3 linked regions of the Anolis sagrei genome follow. The protein of the gene in region 2 purifies or fractionates together with the protein of the main gene of each other region. This does not show direct contact. Links are inferred from orthologs where the notes say so. Each region holds a gene or a part of one and is shown on either strand. Other genes may lie near its edges. The genes, in order: HBS1L, EXOSC4 and MPHOSPH6.

Region 1 (5,200 bases), on a different chromosome or scaffold from region 2:
GTCTATCTATATACTTCCATATGGTGGCTGATCTAGTCCTGAATGTGGTTTAATCCCCTCTAGCATTTTCATTTGTATCATGAATGGTATGTGTACCAGTTTGGTACAAATCCATCAAGCCACGGAGAAGCCTTTGTGGAACAAACAAACAAATATTTTCACTTGTATGTGTGTAAAGCTAAATAAACATTCATAAAAGCTCTTGCAGCTGTACAGAATATCACTCATAGTGTAATTCTAGTCATAGCTACCCACAACTAAGCCCAGTGGGCATTATTCTCAGGGAAAATGTTGCAGAAATAACAATACAGGCAAACCTCAGTTAACATATCCTCTAGCAAAGAATCTTCTCTAAAATTATTTTATTTCTTCCTCTGGTATTAAATTTTCTGATAAAGAGGTATACCCAAGAACACATCTGTTCTGTTAACTGAGGTATAAGGAGTCTTCAAGTTATGAACAAAATAGGTTCTGTAAGTTTGTTCTTAAATTGAAATTGTAAGTCAGAACAGGCACATTTTTTAAATGTACCTTCATCTCTCTCTCTCTGTTTTGAATTGGGTTATCTGAGGGCCCTTCCACACAGCCCTATATTCCAGAATATCAAGGGACAACATCCCACAATATCTGTTTTGAACTGGGTTATCTGAGTCCATACTCAGATGTTGGATTTTCTCCGTTGATATTCTGGGGATATAGGGCTGTGTTGAAGTGGCCTGTGTGCCTTCCCTGAATAAGGAAATAATTCCCAGCAAAATGTCCCCAGAAGCACTTTAACTACCCGTTGGGTTGCTCTCCCTTCATTTCTTTTAAACCCCTCATACCAGATACATCCTACCTCTGTTCATGCCCAGCGTTTATTTTTTAAATTTTAAACTATTACATTTGGCCTGGCCATAGGTTTTCTAAATCCTTGCGTGTTATTGTTTATATGTCAGTTATATTAATTGTATTGTTTTATTTGTTTATCGCTTTTTGTTTTATTGATGTGTTGTCTGGCTTGGCCTCATGTAAGCCGCTCTGAGTCCCCTTGGGGAAATGGTATAAATAAAGTTTTATCATTTATTTATTTATTATTTAAAACATTTATATCCGCCCTTCTCATTCCGAAAACAAACATTCAATGCCTGGATACAATACATAAACATTAAAAAACATTTATCGAAATATTAAAATACACCATTTAAAATAACACCATTTAAAACCGTCCTAGCCATCCGCATCAAATCCAATTGGCCCTGTTATCTTTCCAATTGCCGCTTCATTGCCCTGTCCCGAAAGCTTGGTCCAACAGCCAAGTTTTTACCATCCTTCTAAAGGACAGGAGGGAGGGATCCGACCTGATCTCACCAGGAAGGGAGTTCCATAGCCGGGGAGCAAACACCGAGGCGGCCCTGTCTCTCGTCCCCACCAATCGCGCCTGTGACAATGGCAGGATGGAAAGCAGGGCCTCCCCGGAGGATCTTAATCTCTGTGATGGTTACTAGCTTGGAGACCCGCCACTGCCCGGATTATTTGAGAAAGTGGGTAATGGTGGTTCTGTATGGCAAGTTTGGTCTTTATTGCTCAATGGATGATAGTTGCATTGTTTTCAGGAAGTGAGTGAAGGTACTTGAAGTCCCATCATCCATGGCCCACCCTCCAGCTAACATTATTTATTAAGAGTCCACACTGCCATATATTCCAAAAGCAGAAAATGTGAGATTTTATTCAGCTGTGTGGGAAGGATCTCAGTTTTACAGGCCTGTGTTAATTACCATCAAGCTGAGCGTATATGAAACATAAATGACCCAGGAATACGCCTCGTTTCCACTGACAGGCCTAGTCAACAAAACGTTCCTGGCCTTTCTTCCAAGCAAAGACACCCAACCTGTCAAACGAGGGCAGCTTTCGAGCGTCGACGGCCTGCGCGGTGATTGGCCGCCTGGCGCCAAGCGATTGGACATTTCCTCTGACGTAGCACATGGCCGGCGCCAGCAAACAAGGACCACGCTCTCTAGGGGCGGTGCCGTGTGTAGCTGCGCGCGAGCGCGCGCGCCCCCCAACCAGCCGTTGAAACGTCTCGAGGGCGCCGCGCATGCGCGCTCGAGCCCGAAAGGAAAACGCACGCGCGCCAAAGAGCATGCGTGGGAAGCCTGTCGCGGTAGAGGCTGGGAGGCGGGGCGTCGCTCGGTAGGCCCAAGCCGAGAAACATGGCGACTCGAAGGCGTTCTAGGTGCCCACCCTTAGGGCTGTGAGAAGGCCTACCTACCTACCACCTCGCCTCTCTACCTCAGGCCTTCATCGGCTTGCTCGCCATGGCCCGGCATAGGAACGTGCGTGGCTATAACTACGACGAAGGTAGAGAGGACTCCCCTCACAGTTCCTTTCTGCTCTTTCCTCCTTCGGGAGCCTTTTGAGAGGCGTGTCAGTGACGTCACCTGGGATCGGTTTAGATATGCTTCGGGTAGGGGGGGGGAGAGAAAGCGGGGGTTGGGCCGAACCATGGCGGGCGGGGGTGGGGGGGGGAAGGGGACGGTTTGAGAAGGTGGGCGCCCGCTTCTCATGAGTTATCCCTCCAATTATGGAACAATGGTTTGGTCCAAGCGGGTTGGAACCCCATAGCTGGCCTTGACAGGGGTGTGGCCATTTTGAACCTGGCCTGTTTTGGGAGATTTGGTTCCTAATAGAGGTTGAGGCGATGGGTGGTGCATCTCTGGAATAAATGCACTTGGACACCATTTTTAACTACCTTAACCCTGGGATATGTAGTGTGGTGAGGCACCAGCAGTCTTTGGCAGAGAAACCCATATTATTTGGGTTGTTGTAGGTTTTTTCGGGCTATAGGGCCATGTTCTAGAGGCATTCTCTCCTGACGTTTCGCCTGCATCTATGACAAGCATCCTCAAAGGACCTCACTACCTCTGAGGATGCTTGCCATAGATGCAGGCGAAACGTCAGGAGAGAATGCCTCTAGAACATGGCCATACAGCCCGACAAAACCTACAACAACCCAGTGATTCTGGCCATGAAAGCCTTCGACAACCCATATTATTTATTTATTTACTGTATTTGTATACCACCTTTTTCAGCCTGTCGGCGACTCAAGGCAGTTTACAAATCAGTAAACATAATATCATAATATAGGTTAAAATATTACAACAATATAAAACACATCAGAAGCAATTAAAAAAACATCATTAGCGTCTCCTTATAAAAATTGTCCAATTTCATCGTCGAGGCATTCGATTTCCTATATCAGTTACTCTGCATGTGTAAACGCATGCTCAACCATGTTTTCACTTGTTTTTATTCCGCCCTTTTCACCCTAAAAGGGCACTCAGGGCGGCCTTACAGCAGGCAGCGATTCAATGCCAATACATATAAAAATAAACAAATATAATTAAAACCATAGAATTAAATGTTAATTATTAAAACATAAGTTAAAACCACGCAATTGAGATTGTAGTCCAAGGCCTGTCCAATTTCAATTCCATTAGTTCGGGGTTTTTTTTTCTGTGATAGGAGCAACTTGAGAAACTGCAAGTTGCTTCTGGAGTGAGAGAATTGGCTGTCTGCAAGGACGTTGCCCATGGAACGCCAGGATGTTTTTTGATGTTTTACCATCCTTGTGGGAAGCTTCTGTCATGTCCCTGCATGGGGAGCTGGAGCTGACAGAGGGAGCTTATCCGCGCTCTCCCCGGATTCAAACCTGCGACCTGTCAGTCTTTAGTTCTGCCAGCACAAGGGTTTAACCCAGTCCGTTAACCATATTGCACTATTTATCGAGTGAATGTTTTGTCCCACAGCCACATCTTAAGCTTCTTCCTGAAAGACAGAAGGGAGAGAGCTGATTTGATTTCATTGGGGAGGGAGTTCCATAGACGAGCAGCCACCACTGAGAAGGCCCTGTCGTCCCCACTAATCGCGGTTGCAAAGGTGGTGGGATCAAGAGCAGGGCTTCCTCAGATGATCTTAACTTTTGAAGTGGATAATAGAGGGAGATATGTGAAGACAGGTAAGCTGGGCTAGAACAGTTTAGGGCTTTACAGGCTAAAGGCAGCACTTTGAATTGTGCTTGGTAGCAGACTGGCAGCCAGTGGAGCTGATGTAACAGGGGGTTGTGTGCTCCCTGTACGGCGCTCCAGTGAGCAATCAGGCTGCTTCCTGTTGGACTAATTGAAGCTTCCAAACAGTCTACAAAGGCAACTCCACATAGAGCGCGTTGCAGTATCTAGTCAGGATGTAAAAAGTGTGGACTACCGTGGCCAAGTCTGACTTCCCATACAGCAGGCATGGGCAAACTTCAGCCCTCCAGGTGTTTAGCACTTCAACTCCCACAATTCATAGCAGCCCGTATAGCTCATAAAACTTCCAGGGTCCCAAAGTATTGAGTCATGGCAGTGAAAGTGCTGTCCAACTGCATTAATTCTGCTGTGTGGATGCACTCTGTGTGACTCAATGGACACTGGGAGAACAGGGTTCAAAACCCCACTCGGCATGGGTGACCCTTGGCAAAAGCATACACTTTCAGCCACAGAAACCCTTAATTGCATAGCCATATGTCAGAAGTGGCTTGAAAGCACACAACAACAACAACAACAATAGGTCACAAATCCCTTATCTAAAATTCTTTGAACCATAAATGGTTTTGGATTTTGAAATACTTGCATTTATGTAAGGAGATGTTTCGAAAATGAGACCAAAGTCAGTACTCAAAATTCATCTACATTTCATATACACTTTATACACACCCTCTTTAACGTTCTTTTATAATGTATTTGTAATATTTTTGTAATAATTTTGTGCCTGAAACAAAGTTTGTGCATGGTGAATCATTAGAAAGCAAAGGCACCACTATTACAGCCACCAATCTGGACGACTTTGATTTGGGAACATTTCAAATTCCAGATAAGGGACACTTGTACTGATGGTCACTAAGGCTTTTCTTTAAAGCACCAAATGTTAAACATAGGATATTCTACCTGGGCCCACTGATTAGAGACAGCACATCTGTTGTGTGGCACTAGAGCGAAAAAGGGCATTGATGTTAGGTCATGCTAGGCATCCTTATCAACACAGGCAAGTGGCTGACTCTGCTGAAAGGAAGAGGAGGTGTTAAAAACCTGTCTGTGGAAAATGTAACTGATGTGTATAAACATAAATCCTGATAATGTTTTAGGATTGTACACCTAGAAGAAATATATAGGCTTATCCCTTT
Region 2 (5,200 bases):
CTTCCCTATGAACCATCAAGATTGCTAAGATTGTCTGGAGGGGCCCTGCTCTCAATCCCACCGGCCTCACAGGCGCGGCTGGTGGGGACGAGAGACAGGGCCTTCTCGGTGGTGGCCCCTCGACTCTGGAACTCAGAAGAGATCAGAACTGCCCCTTCGATCTTAACGTTCAGGAAACAGGTGAAAACCTGGCTTTGGGGATTGGCATTCGACGAATGAGCCATGACCCTGTGATATGGATGGATGACGACGAATAATGATTTTTGATGACGACTGACCACTGTAATCACATGACTGTATTTTTGCTATTTTAATGTTTTAGTGTGATTTAGAATATGATGTTGTAATGACTGTCTGTAATATTGATGTTGGAAAGCGGTCTGGGTCCCTCGAACGGAGGTGAGAAGACCAATATACAGAACTGCTCAATAAATAATTAAAATAATAAGAATAATTCAGAAGTTGTAATGTTTACAAAGAAGGAAACATCGCTATGGCGCCCCCTCTCGCTACAGGCGCGCCACTGCAGGCCTTGGCTCCTCCCCTTCCTCCTCATTGGCTGTCTTTATGTCCCCGCCCCTTTGCTTCCCCCGCCATTCCTCGTCTCCCTCTCGCTAGAAGCTCCTCCTCCTTATTGGCTCAGTCGCAGAAAAGGGGCGTGGTTATCGTTGCGACCCCGCCCCCTTAATGCTCCTTCCATTTAGGCGCCTCTCTGTGCTCTCTGCTTCAAGCCCCTCCCCTTCTTCCCTATTGGATGGGGAGCAGGGAAGGGGCGTGGTTATCGTTCCGGCCCCGCCCCTTGCTGCTCTCTCCATTCAGGCGCCTTTCTGTGCTCTCTGCTTCAGGCCCCTCCCCTTCTTCCCTATTGGATGGGGAGCAGGGAAGGGGCGTGGTTATCGTTGCGACCCCGCCCCTTGCTGCTCTCTCCATTTGGGCGCCTTTCTGTGCTCTCTGCTTCAGGCCCCTCCCCTTCTTCCCTATTGGATGGGGAGCAGGGAAGGGGCGTGGTTATCCTTAAGTCCCCGCCCCCTAGCTTCACCCGCCAGAGAGGTGCCTTCTCTCTGCTCTCGCTTCAGGCCCCTCCCCTTCTTCCCTATTGGATGGGGAGCAGGAAAGGGGCGTGGTTATCGTTCCGGCCCCGCCCCCTTGCTGCTCCATCCATTCAGGCCCCTCCTCTTCTTCCCTATTGGCCGGGGAGGAGGGAAAAGGGGGCGTGGTTATCCTTCAGGCCCCGCCTCCTTGCTGCTCCCTCGCCATTCAGACGCCTCTCTCTGCTCTAGCTTCAGGCCCCTCCCCTTCCTCCCTATTGGATGGGGAGCAGGGAAGGGGCGTGGTTATCCTTAAGTCCCCGCCCCCTTGCCGCCCCATCCATTCAGGCCCCTCCTCTTCTTCCCTATTGGCTGGGGAGCAGGGAAAGGGGCGTGGTTATCCTTAAGTCCCCGCCCCCTTGCTGATCCCGCCATTCAGGCACTTCTCTCTGCTCTCGCTTCAGGCCCCTCCCCTTCTTCCCTATTGGATGGGGAGCAGGGAAGGGGCGTGGTTATCCTTAAGTCCCCGCCCCCTTGCCGCCCCATCCATTCAGGCCCCTCCTCTTCTTCCCTACTGGCTGGGGAGCAGGGAAAGGGGCGTGGTTATATTTAAGTCCCCGCCCCCTTGCTGATCCCGCCATTCAGGCCCTTCTCTCTGCTCTCTCTTCAGGCCCCTCCCCTTCTTCCCTATTGGTTGTGGAGCAGGGGGTGGGCGTGGCTACCCTTCCTGGTTCCCGCCTTTCTCTTTCCTTGCATGATGGCGGGCCTGGAGCTGCTCTCTGCGCAGGGCTTCCGCGTGGACGGGCGCCGGGCCGGGGAGCTGCGGCAGGTGCGGGCCCGCATGGGGGTCTTCGCCCAGGCAGACGGGTCCGCCTACCTCGAGCAGGGGAACACCAAGGCCCTCGCCGTCGTCTACGGGCCCCACGAGGTAGGAAGGCAGGGGGTGGGTTCCTAGATCTAATCACCTCTCCACAAAAGATTCCCCCAGGCACAGCCAGGCCATCAAATGCTGAGAGGGCTTAGATGGGTTTATAGATCTAATCACCTCTCCACAAAAGATTTCCCCAGGCACAGCCAGGCCATCAAATGCTGAGAGGGCTTAGATGGGTTTATATATCTAATCACCTCTCCACAAAAGATTCCCCCAGGCACAGCCAGGCCATCAAATGCTGAGAGGGCTTAGATGGGTTTATAGATCTAATCACCTCTCCACAAAAGATTTCCCCAGGCACAGCCAGGCCATCAAATGCTGAGAGGGCTTAGATGGGTTTATATATCTAATCACCTCTCCACAAAAGATTTCCCCAGGCACAGCCAGGCCATCAAATGCTGAGAGGGCTTAGATGGGTTTATAGATCTAATCACCTCTCCACAAAAGATTTCCCCAGGCACAGCCAGGCCATCAAATGCTGAGAGGGCTTAGATGGGTTTATATATCTAATCACCTCTCCACAAAAGATTTCCCCAGGCACAGCCAGGCCATCAAATGCTGAGAGGGCTTAGATGGGTTTATAGATCTAATCACCTCTCCACAAAAGATTTCCCCAGGCACAGCCAGGCCATCAAATGCTGAGAGGGCTTAGATGGGTTTATAGATCTAATCACCTCTCCACAAAAGATTTCCCCAGGCACAGCCAGGCCATCAAATGCTGAGAGGGCTTAGATGGGTTTATAGATCTAATCACCTCTCCACAAAAGATTCCCCCAGGCACAGCCAGGCCATCAAATGCTGAGAGGGCTTAGATGGGTTTATAGATCTAATCACCTCTCCACAAAAGATTTCCCCAGGCACAGCCAGGCCATCAAATGCTGAGAGGGCTTAGATGGGTTTATATATCTAATCACCTCTCCACAAAAGATTCCCCCAGGCACAGCCAGGCCATCAAATGCTGAGAGGGCTTAGATGGGTTTATAGATCTAATCACCTCTCCACAAAAGATTCCCCCAGGCACAGCCAGGCCATCAAATGCTGAGAGGGCTTAGATGGGTTTATATATCTAATCACCTCTCCACAAAAGATTCCCCCAGGCACAGCCAGGCCATCAAATGCTGAGAGGGCTTAGATGGGTTTATAGATCTAATCACCTCTCCACAAAAGATTCCCCCAGGCACAGCCAGGCCATCAAATGCTGAGAGGGCTTAGATGGGTTTATATATCTAATCACCTCTCCACAAAAGATTTCCCCGGGCACAGCCAGGTCATCAAATGCTAATCGAGGTGGTCAGTTGAAACGTTCACACCTAGCTCCAGCAGACAAGAGTCCTTTGTCCCACCCTGGTCATTATTCCACAGATGTATAAACCCTAGCTCCAGCAGACAAGAGTCCTTTGTCCCACCCCAGTCATTCTACAGATATATAAACCCTTTTTCCTCGTTCCAACAGACCTCACTACCTCTGAGGATGCTTGCCATAGATGCAGGCGAAACATCAGGAGAGAATGCCTCTAGAACATGGCCATATAGCCCAAAGAAACCTACAACAACCCAGTGATTCCAGCCATGAAAGCCTTCGACAATGACATCTAATCACCTCTCAACAAAAGATTCCCCCAGGCACAGCCAGGCCATCATATGCTGAGAGGGCTTAGATGGGTTTATATATCTAATCACCTCTCAACAAAGGATTCCCCCAGGCACTCCGAGGCCATTATATGCCAATCAAGGTGGTCAGTTGAAACATTCACACCTAGCTCCAGCAGACAAGAGTCCTTTGTCCCACCCTGCTCATTATTCCACATATATATAAACCCTTTTTCCTAGTTCCAACAGACCTCACTACCTCTGAGGATGCTTGCCATAGATGCAGGCGAAATGTCAGGAGAGAATGCCACTAGACCATGGCCTCTGTGCCTGTTCAAAAGATTCCACATCACTTTCAGTTCCTGTGAGAATGGGATTTTGAAACATTTAGTTTATTGTGGAAACAAGGGTGGGAGGTATTTCCTGGGTGAGGAGGGCAGGCTAGATGACCCCCAGAGGCCCCTGGACTACCCCCGTCTCCTTCCTCTTTCCTGCAGACGCGGGGCTCGCGGTCCAAGGCGCTGCACGACCAGGCGGTGGTCAACTGCCAGTTCAGCCTGGCCACCTTCAGCACCGGAGAGCGCAAGCGGCGGCCCCACGGTGACCGGCAGACCTCCGAGATGAGCCTCCACCTCAAGCAGACCTTCGAGGCCGCCATCCTCACCCAGCTCTACCCTCGCTCCCAGATCGACATCTACGTCCAGGTGGGTGACCGGTAGGTTTCCATGCACCCCCTTGGAAACAGTCATCTAGGAGTCTTTGCAGACCCCAAGCAGAACGTGAGCCAAGAGAGTGATGCGGCAGCTCAAAAGGCCAATGCCATTCTAGGCTGCATCAGGAAGAGTTTAAAAATGAAATAGGTATAGAATGGGTGACCCCTGAAGGGACCCCAAAGGCCATCCAGTCCAACCCCTTTCTGCCAGAAAGGAAGACACCATTGGAATATGAAAACAGTATCTAAGAGTCTCAGGAGAAGACAAGCTGAACTTTTTTCTTCTCTTTTGTCATTTACACAATCAAATAAAATTATATTTTTAAAAATCAGTGGAATTCTGTGTTGGAGGCTTTTAAACAGAAGCTGGATGGCCACCTTTCTGGGAGGCTCTGATTGTGCTTTTCCTGCATGGCAGGAGGGGGTTGGAATGCATGGCTTTTGCAGTCTCTTCCAACTCTATCATTATGATTATTTTACCATTTTTCTCCTTCGCATTTGGCCCAGCTCGCCCCTATTTAATTCTTCTATCACTTTATTATGTTATTGTCACTGTTTTATTGCATTGCTATGTTATTGTTAAGCATTTTATTTGATGTTTTGTCTCTTTCATATGCATTTTATTTTGCCTTATTGCAATTACTTGGCCTTGGCCTCATGTTAGCCGCCCCAAGTCCCTTTGGGAAGATGGTGATGGGGCATACATAAAGTTTATTATTACTATTGTTGTTGTTGATAGCCATCTGTCGGGGTGTTTTGATTGTGTTCTTCGTGCATTACAGAAGTAGGTGGTCCTTGCAGGCTCTTCCAACTCTATAATAATTATTGTTATTATTATTATTATTGTTGTTATTATTATTACTATTAGTACTATTATGGTTGATGGCCATCTGTTGATTGTGCTTTTCCTGCATGAAGGCAGAAGAGGTTGGACTGGAT
Region 3 (5,200 bases), on a different chromosome or scaffold from region 2:
AAAATTATCCTGCTTTGTGTGGAAACATCAGAGATGGGCACTAAGAAACGTCACTGACCAAAGACAGTCAAATTCACTTCCAAATGAAGATCCTGAACAAGTGGGATTTACTTCCAAGCAAAGACAGCGAGCCTTCGCCCTCAATCACAAAGAACTGCTTTCAATCCTCGGGTTTGGAGAGGAAATGGACGGAAAAGAGAGAAAGGAGCATTTTGCTCTGCATGTGCCTCAAAGGCGCCGCATCCTGAAAGATGGAGATACAAAGAGAATGGCGCTAATGCAAAACCGGAGCAAACAAACCATGAAGGCCCGACGATATTGAGTTATACATATTTAATGAATATTTATATTTTAAAAAATTAATGGCAATCTCGACTCAGATGTTGTTCTCTGAGAAAACGGAGCGATCATCAATCTCGCCACTGCGTTCTTCCACTGAGTGATGTGTTACATTATAGGACAGGAACGGAGTCCATTAACCGCCGAGCCGAGACTAATTCCACTTTGGGCTCAGCACCGGATTTGCAAATCCAAGGGCAATGGTGAGGTCAGGGCTCTTGTTAATATCTCTCGCTGGACCATCTCCACGTGACTACGCTGATGGGTTGGAGCAGAGAGGGAGAAATTAAATGAGACGAGGAAACCACAAGTAACATTAGCACATTGGCAGGTCCTGCCATTGGAAGTGGAGGCAAAACTTGGCCAAAATAAGAACGACCTTTAGTTCCAATTAAAACAAGGACGACCTTTGGTCTGAAGTAAACATCTTAAGCTAAAATGTAAAGGAAGAGGAGAATTTGATTGTGCTGGTAAGAAGTATGTCCCATGAGGAACATGATGATGATGATGAAAAAGGATGACCCAAACAATTACCGTCCAGTCAGCCTCACGTCGATACCAGGCAAGATTCTGGAAAAGATTGTTAAGGAAGTGGTCTGCAAACACTTAGAAACAAATGCGGTCATCGCTAATAGTCAACATGGATTTATCAAAAACAAGTCATGCCAGACTAATCTGATCTCTTTTTTCGATAGAGTTACAAGCTGGATAGATGCGGGGAATGCTGTGGATGTAGCGTACCTGGATTTCAGTAAGGCCTTCAACAAGGTCCCCCATGACCTTCTGGCAAACAAACTAGTCCAATGTGGGCTAGGCAAAACTACAGTGAGGTGGATCTGTAATTGGTTAAATGGACGAACCCAAAGGGTGCTCACCAATGCTTCCTCTTCATCCTGGAAAGAAGTGACAAGTGGAGTGCCATCAGCAGGGTTCTGTCCTGGGCCCGGTCCTGTTCAACATCTTTATTAATGACTTAGATGAAGGGCTAGAAGGCAGGATCATCAAGTTTGCAGACGACACCAAATTGGGAGGGATAGCCAATACTCTGGTGCCCCCGGTGGTGCAGTGGGTTAAAGCACTGAGCTGCTGAGCTTGTTGATCGAAAGGTCGCAGGTTTGATTCCGGGGAGCGGCGTGAGCTTCCGCTGTCAGCCCTAGCTTCTGCCAACCTAGCAGTTCGAAAACATGCAAATGTGAGTAGATCAATAGGTACCGCTCCGGCGGGAAGGTAACGGCGCTCCATGCAGTCATGCTGGCCACAAGACCTTGGAGGTGTCTACGGACAACGCTGGCTCTTCGGCTTAGAAATGGAGATGAGCACCGCACCCCAGAGCCAGACATGACTGGACTTAATGTCAGGGGACTACCTTTACCTTTACCTTAGCCAATACTCTAGAGGACAGGAGCAGGATTCAAAACGATCTTGACAGATTAGAGAGATGGGCCAAAACTAACAAAATGAAGTTCAACAGGAACCAATGCAAGGTACTCCACTTAGGCAGGAAAAACGAAATGCAAAGATACAGAATGGGGGACAATGCCTGGCTTGAGAGCAGTACGTGTGAAAAAGATCTTGGAGTCCTCGTGGACAACAAGTTAAACATGAGCCAACAATGTGATGCGGCGGCAAAAAAAGCCAATGGGATTTTGGCCTGCATCAATAGGAGCATAGTGTCTAGATCTAGGGAAGTCATGCTACCCCTCTATTCTGCTTTGGTTAGACCACACCTGGAATATTGTGTCCAATTCTGGGCACCACAATTCAAGAGAGATATTGACAAGCTGGAATGTGTCCAGAGGAGGGCAACTAAAATGATCAAGGGTCTGGAGAACAAGCCCTATGAGGAGCGGCTTAAGGAGCTGGGCATGTTTAGCCTGAAGAAGAGAAGGCTGAGAGCAGATATGATAGCCATGTATAAATATGTGAGAGGAAGCCACAGGGAGGAGGGAGCAAGCTTGTTTTCTGCTTCCCTGGAGACTAGGACGCGGAACAATGGCTTCAAACTACAAGAAAGGAGAGTCCATCTGAACACGAGGAAGAACTTCCTGACTGTGAGAGCTGTTCAGCAGTGGAACTCTCTGCCCCGGAGTGTGGTGGAGGCTCCTTCTTTGGAAGCTTTTAAACAGAGACTGGATGGCCATCTGTCAGGGGTGATTTGAATGCAATATTCCTGCTTCTTGGCAGGGGGTTGGACTGGATGGCCCATGAGGTCTCTTCCAACTCTTTGATTCTATTATTCTATGTCTGTTTTTATGATTCTATGTCTGTTTCTGGCGTGGGCTGGTCCATGAGGTCACAAAGAGTCGGAGACGACTGAACGAATGAACAACAACACAACTCCCAAATTACAAAATCAATCCTCCCCCAACCTTACTAGCATTCACATTTGGGTGTATTGGGTATTTGTGGCCAGTTTGGTCCAGTGAATGAAAATGCACCCTGCATATCTGATATTTACATTATGATTTATAACAGTAGTAAAATGATTGTTACGAAGTAGCATTGAAAACAATATTATGGTTGGGGGTCACCACAACATGAGGGACTGTATTAAGGGGTCACGGCATTAGGAAGGTTGAGAACCACTGATGTAGGGCTTTAAGTGGGAGGGGCCTAGCGACTCTTCCCGAGACCACTCGGCTCCTCTCCCCGCACCTCGCCTCCTGCGGCCGAAGGGCTTCGGAAGTGGGAGGGGCTAGCCGACGCTTGCCGAAGCCGCTCGGGAAGAGCCGCCTAGACCCCGCCCACTCCCGAAAGGGCCATGAAACCGGTTCTTTCTCCCCCTCCCGCCGCCCCATTACCTTCATGCGGAGAAGGTTTTTGGACAGTTTGCTCTTCACGTCGCGAGCCATGGCCGAAAGAAGGTGTGGAGGGCCCGCCTGGACTCGTCACGTGGCGGCGCGGCGTCTCTTCAGACTCGCCTTCGCCTCTCTTGCGACTGCGCATGCCCGGGGTGCGTCAATCGTACGCATGCTCAGTTACAGGCAGTGAAGCTGCTCTTCCGGCCCTTTCAGAACCTGGCAGGGAGCATGCGCATAAGCTTTAACTAGACATGCCCTACACTGCTGGATTAATGCACTTTGACTGCCGTGACTCAAGGATTGTGGGAGTTAAAAAACTCAAAAATGACAACAGCAAAACAGCAGAGAGGAAACAACCAAGCACAGCTTCACACCTCTCAACAAAAGATTCTCCCTTCAATTGCTAATGAAGGTGGTCAGTTGAAACATTCTCACCCAGCTCCAGCAGAGAAGAGCTCTTTGCCCCACCCCAGTCATTCCACAGATATATTAACCCATTGTCCTAGTTCCAAACAGACCTCACTACCTCTGAGGATGCTTGCCATAGATGCTGGTGAAACGTCAGGAGAAAATGCCTCTAGAATATGGCCATATAGCCCAAAAAAACCCCACAAGAACCTATTGATTCCAGCCATGAATGCCTTCGACAATACATTGTGGGAGTTGTAGCTTTACAGGCCTTTTAGCCTTCGCTACCACAGAGTGCTGGTGGCTCACCAAACTCCAAATCCCAAGATTCCTTGGCATTGAGTCCAGGCAGCAAAACTACAAGGTATTGTCGAAGGCTTTCATGGCCGGAATCACTGGGTTGTTGTAGAGGCATGTTCTAGAGGCATTTTCTCCTGACGTTTCGCCTGCATCTATGGCAAGCATCCTCAGAGGTAGTGAGGTCTGTTGGAAGTAGGAAAATGGGTTTATATATCTGTGGAAATACCAGGGTGAGACAAAGGACTTTTGTCTGCTGGAGCTAGGTGTGAATGTTTCAACTGACCACCTTGATTAGCATTTAATGGCTTGGAAGTGCCTGGGGGGAATCTTTTGTTGAGAGTGATTTGATTTGCCTGATTGTTTACTCTGTTTACTTGTTTTGCTGTTGCAATTTTTGAGTTTTTTAATACTGGTGGCCAGATTTTGTTCATTTTCATGGTTTCTTCCTTTCTGTTGAAATTGTCCACATGCTTGTGGATTTCAATGGCTTCTCTGTGTAGTCTGGCATGGTGGTTGTTGGAGTGGTCCAGCATTTCTGTGTTCTCAAATAATCTGCTGTGTCCAGGTTGGTTCATCAGGTGCTCTGCTATGGCTGATTTCTCTGGTTGGAGTAGTCTGCAGTGCCTTTCATGTTCCTTGATTCGTGTTTGGGCATTGCTGCGTTTGGTGGTCCCTATGTAGACTTGTCCACAGCTGCATGGTATACGGTAGACTCCTGCAGAGGTGAGAGGATCCTTCTTGTCCTTTGCTGAACGTAGCATTTGTTGAATTTTCTTGGTGGGTCTGTAGATAGTTTGTATGTTGTGTTTCCTCATCAGCTTCCCTATGCGGTCAGTGGTTCCCTTGATGTATGGCAAGAACACTTTTCCTCTGGGTGGATCTTAATTGTTATTCTCTGTACACCCAATTGTTGATCTGGTTTGCGGATGACTAGGACATCTTGAAAAGGCAGTCTTCCTTCATAGACTTCATTGTCCCACTGAAAGTAGCTGATGGTGAGGCAATGGTGAAACAATGAATTCTACGAACAGAAAGATGGAGTAGCTATGGGGAGCCCTCTCAGCCCGGTCATAGCTAATTTCTACATGGAACACTTTGAAAAACAAGCCCTGGAGACAGCAACAAAAAAGCCCACGATATGGTTCAGATATGTGGATGACACTTTCACCATTTGGAGCCACGGAGAAGAAGAACTCAACAGGTTCCTGGACCATCTGAACAGCATCCACCCAAATATCCAATTCACTATAGAAAAAGAAAATGAAAGAAGACTGTCTTTTCTAGATGTCCTAGTCATCCGCAAACCAGATCAACAATTGGGTCACACCGTCCACAGAAAACCCACACACACA

The links.
Region 1: the proteins of EXOSC4 (region 2) and HBS1L purify together in Homo sapiens (affinity purification with mass spectrometry; 3 studies listed by BioGRID and IntAct, with this or other methods). This does not show direct contact. The link is inferred for Anolis sagrei from reciprocal best matches to the Homo sapiens genes EXOSC4 and HBS1L.
Region 3: the proteins of EXOSC4 (region 2) and MPHOSPH6 purify together in Homo sapiens (affinity purification with mass spectrometry; 7 studies listed by BioGRID and IntAct, with this or other methods). This does not show direct contact. The link is inferred for Anolis sagrei from reciprocal best matches to the Homo sapiens genes EXOSC4 and MPHOSPH6.

What each region holds. Positions count from the first base shown.
Region 1 is NC_090021.1:80,662,394-80,667,593, forward strand, and holds the start of HBS1L (HBS1-like protein), read left to right. Parts: upstream 1-2,103; 5' UTR 2,104-2,297; coding exon 2,298-2,340; intron 2,341-5,200. UniProt on the Homo sapiens protein: GTPase component of the Pelota-HBS1L complex, a complex that recognizes stalled ribosomes and triggers the No-Go Decay (NGD) pathway.
Region 2 is NC_090024.1:2,005,101-2,010,300, forward strand, and holds the start of EXOSC4 (exosome complex component RRP41), read left to right. Parts: upstream 1-1,780; 5' UTR 1,781-1,782; coding exon 1,783-1,956; intron 1,957-4,046; coding exon 4,047-4,253; intron 4,254-5,200. UniProt on the Homo sapiens protein: Non-catalytic component of the RNA exosome complex which has 3'->5' exoribonuclease activity and participates in a multitude of cellular RNA processing and degradation events.
Region 3 is NC_090028.1:21,294,036-21,299,235, forward strand, and holds the start of MPHOSPH6 (M-phase phosphoprotein 6), read right to left. Parts: upstream 3,285-5,200; 5' UTR 3,192-3,284; coding exon 3,141-3,191; intron 1-3,140. UniProt on the Homo sapiens protein: RNA-binding protein that associates with the RNA exosome complex. Involved in the 3'-processing of the 7S pre-RNA to the mature 5.8S rRNA and play a role in recruiting the RNA exosome complex to pre-rRNA; this function may include C1D.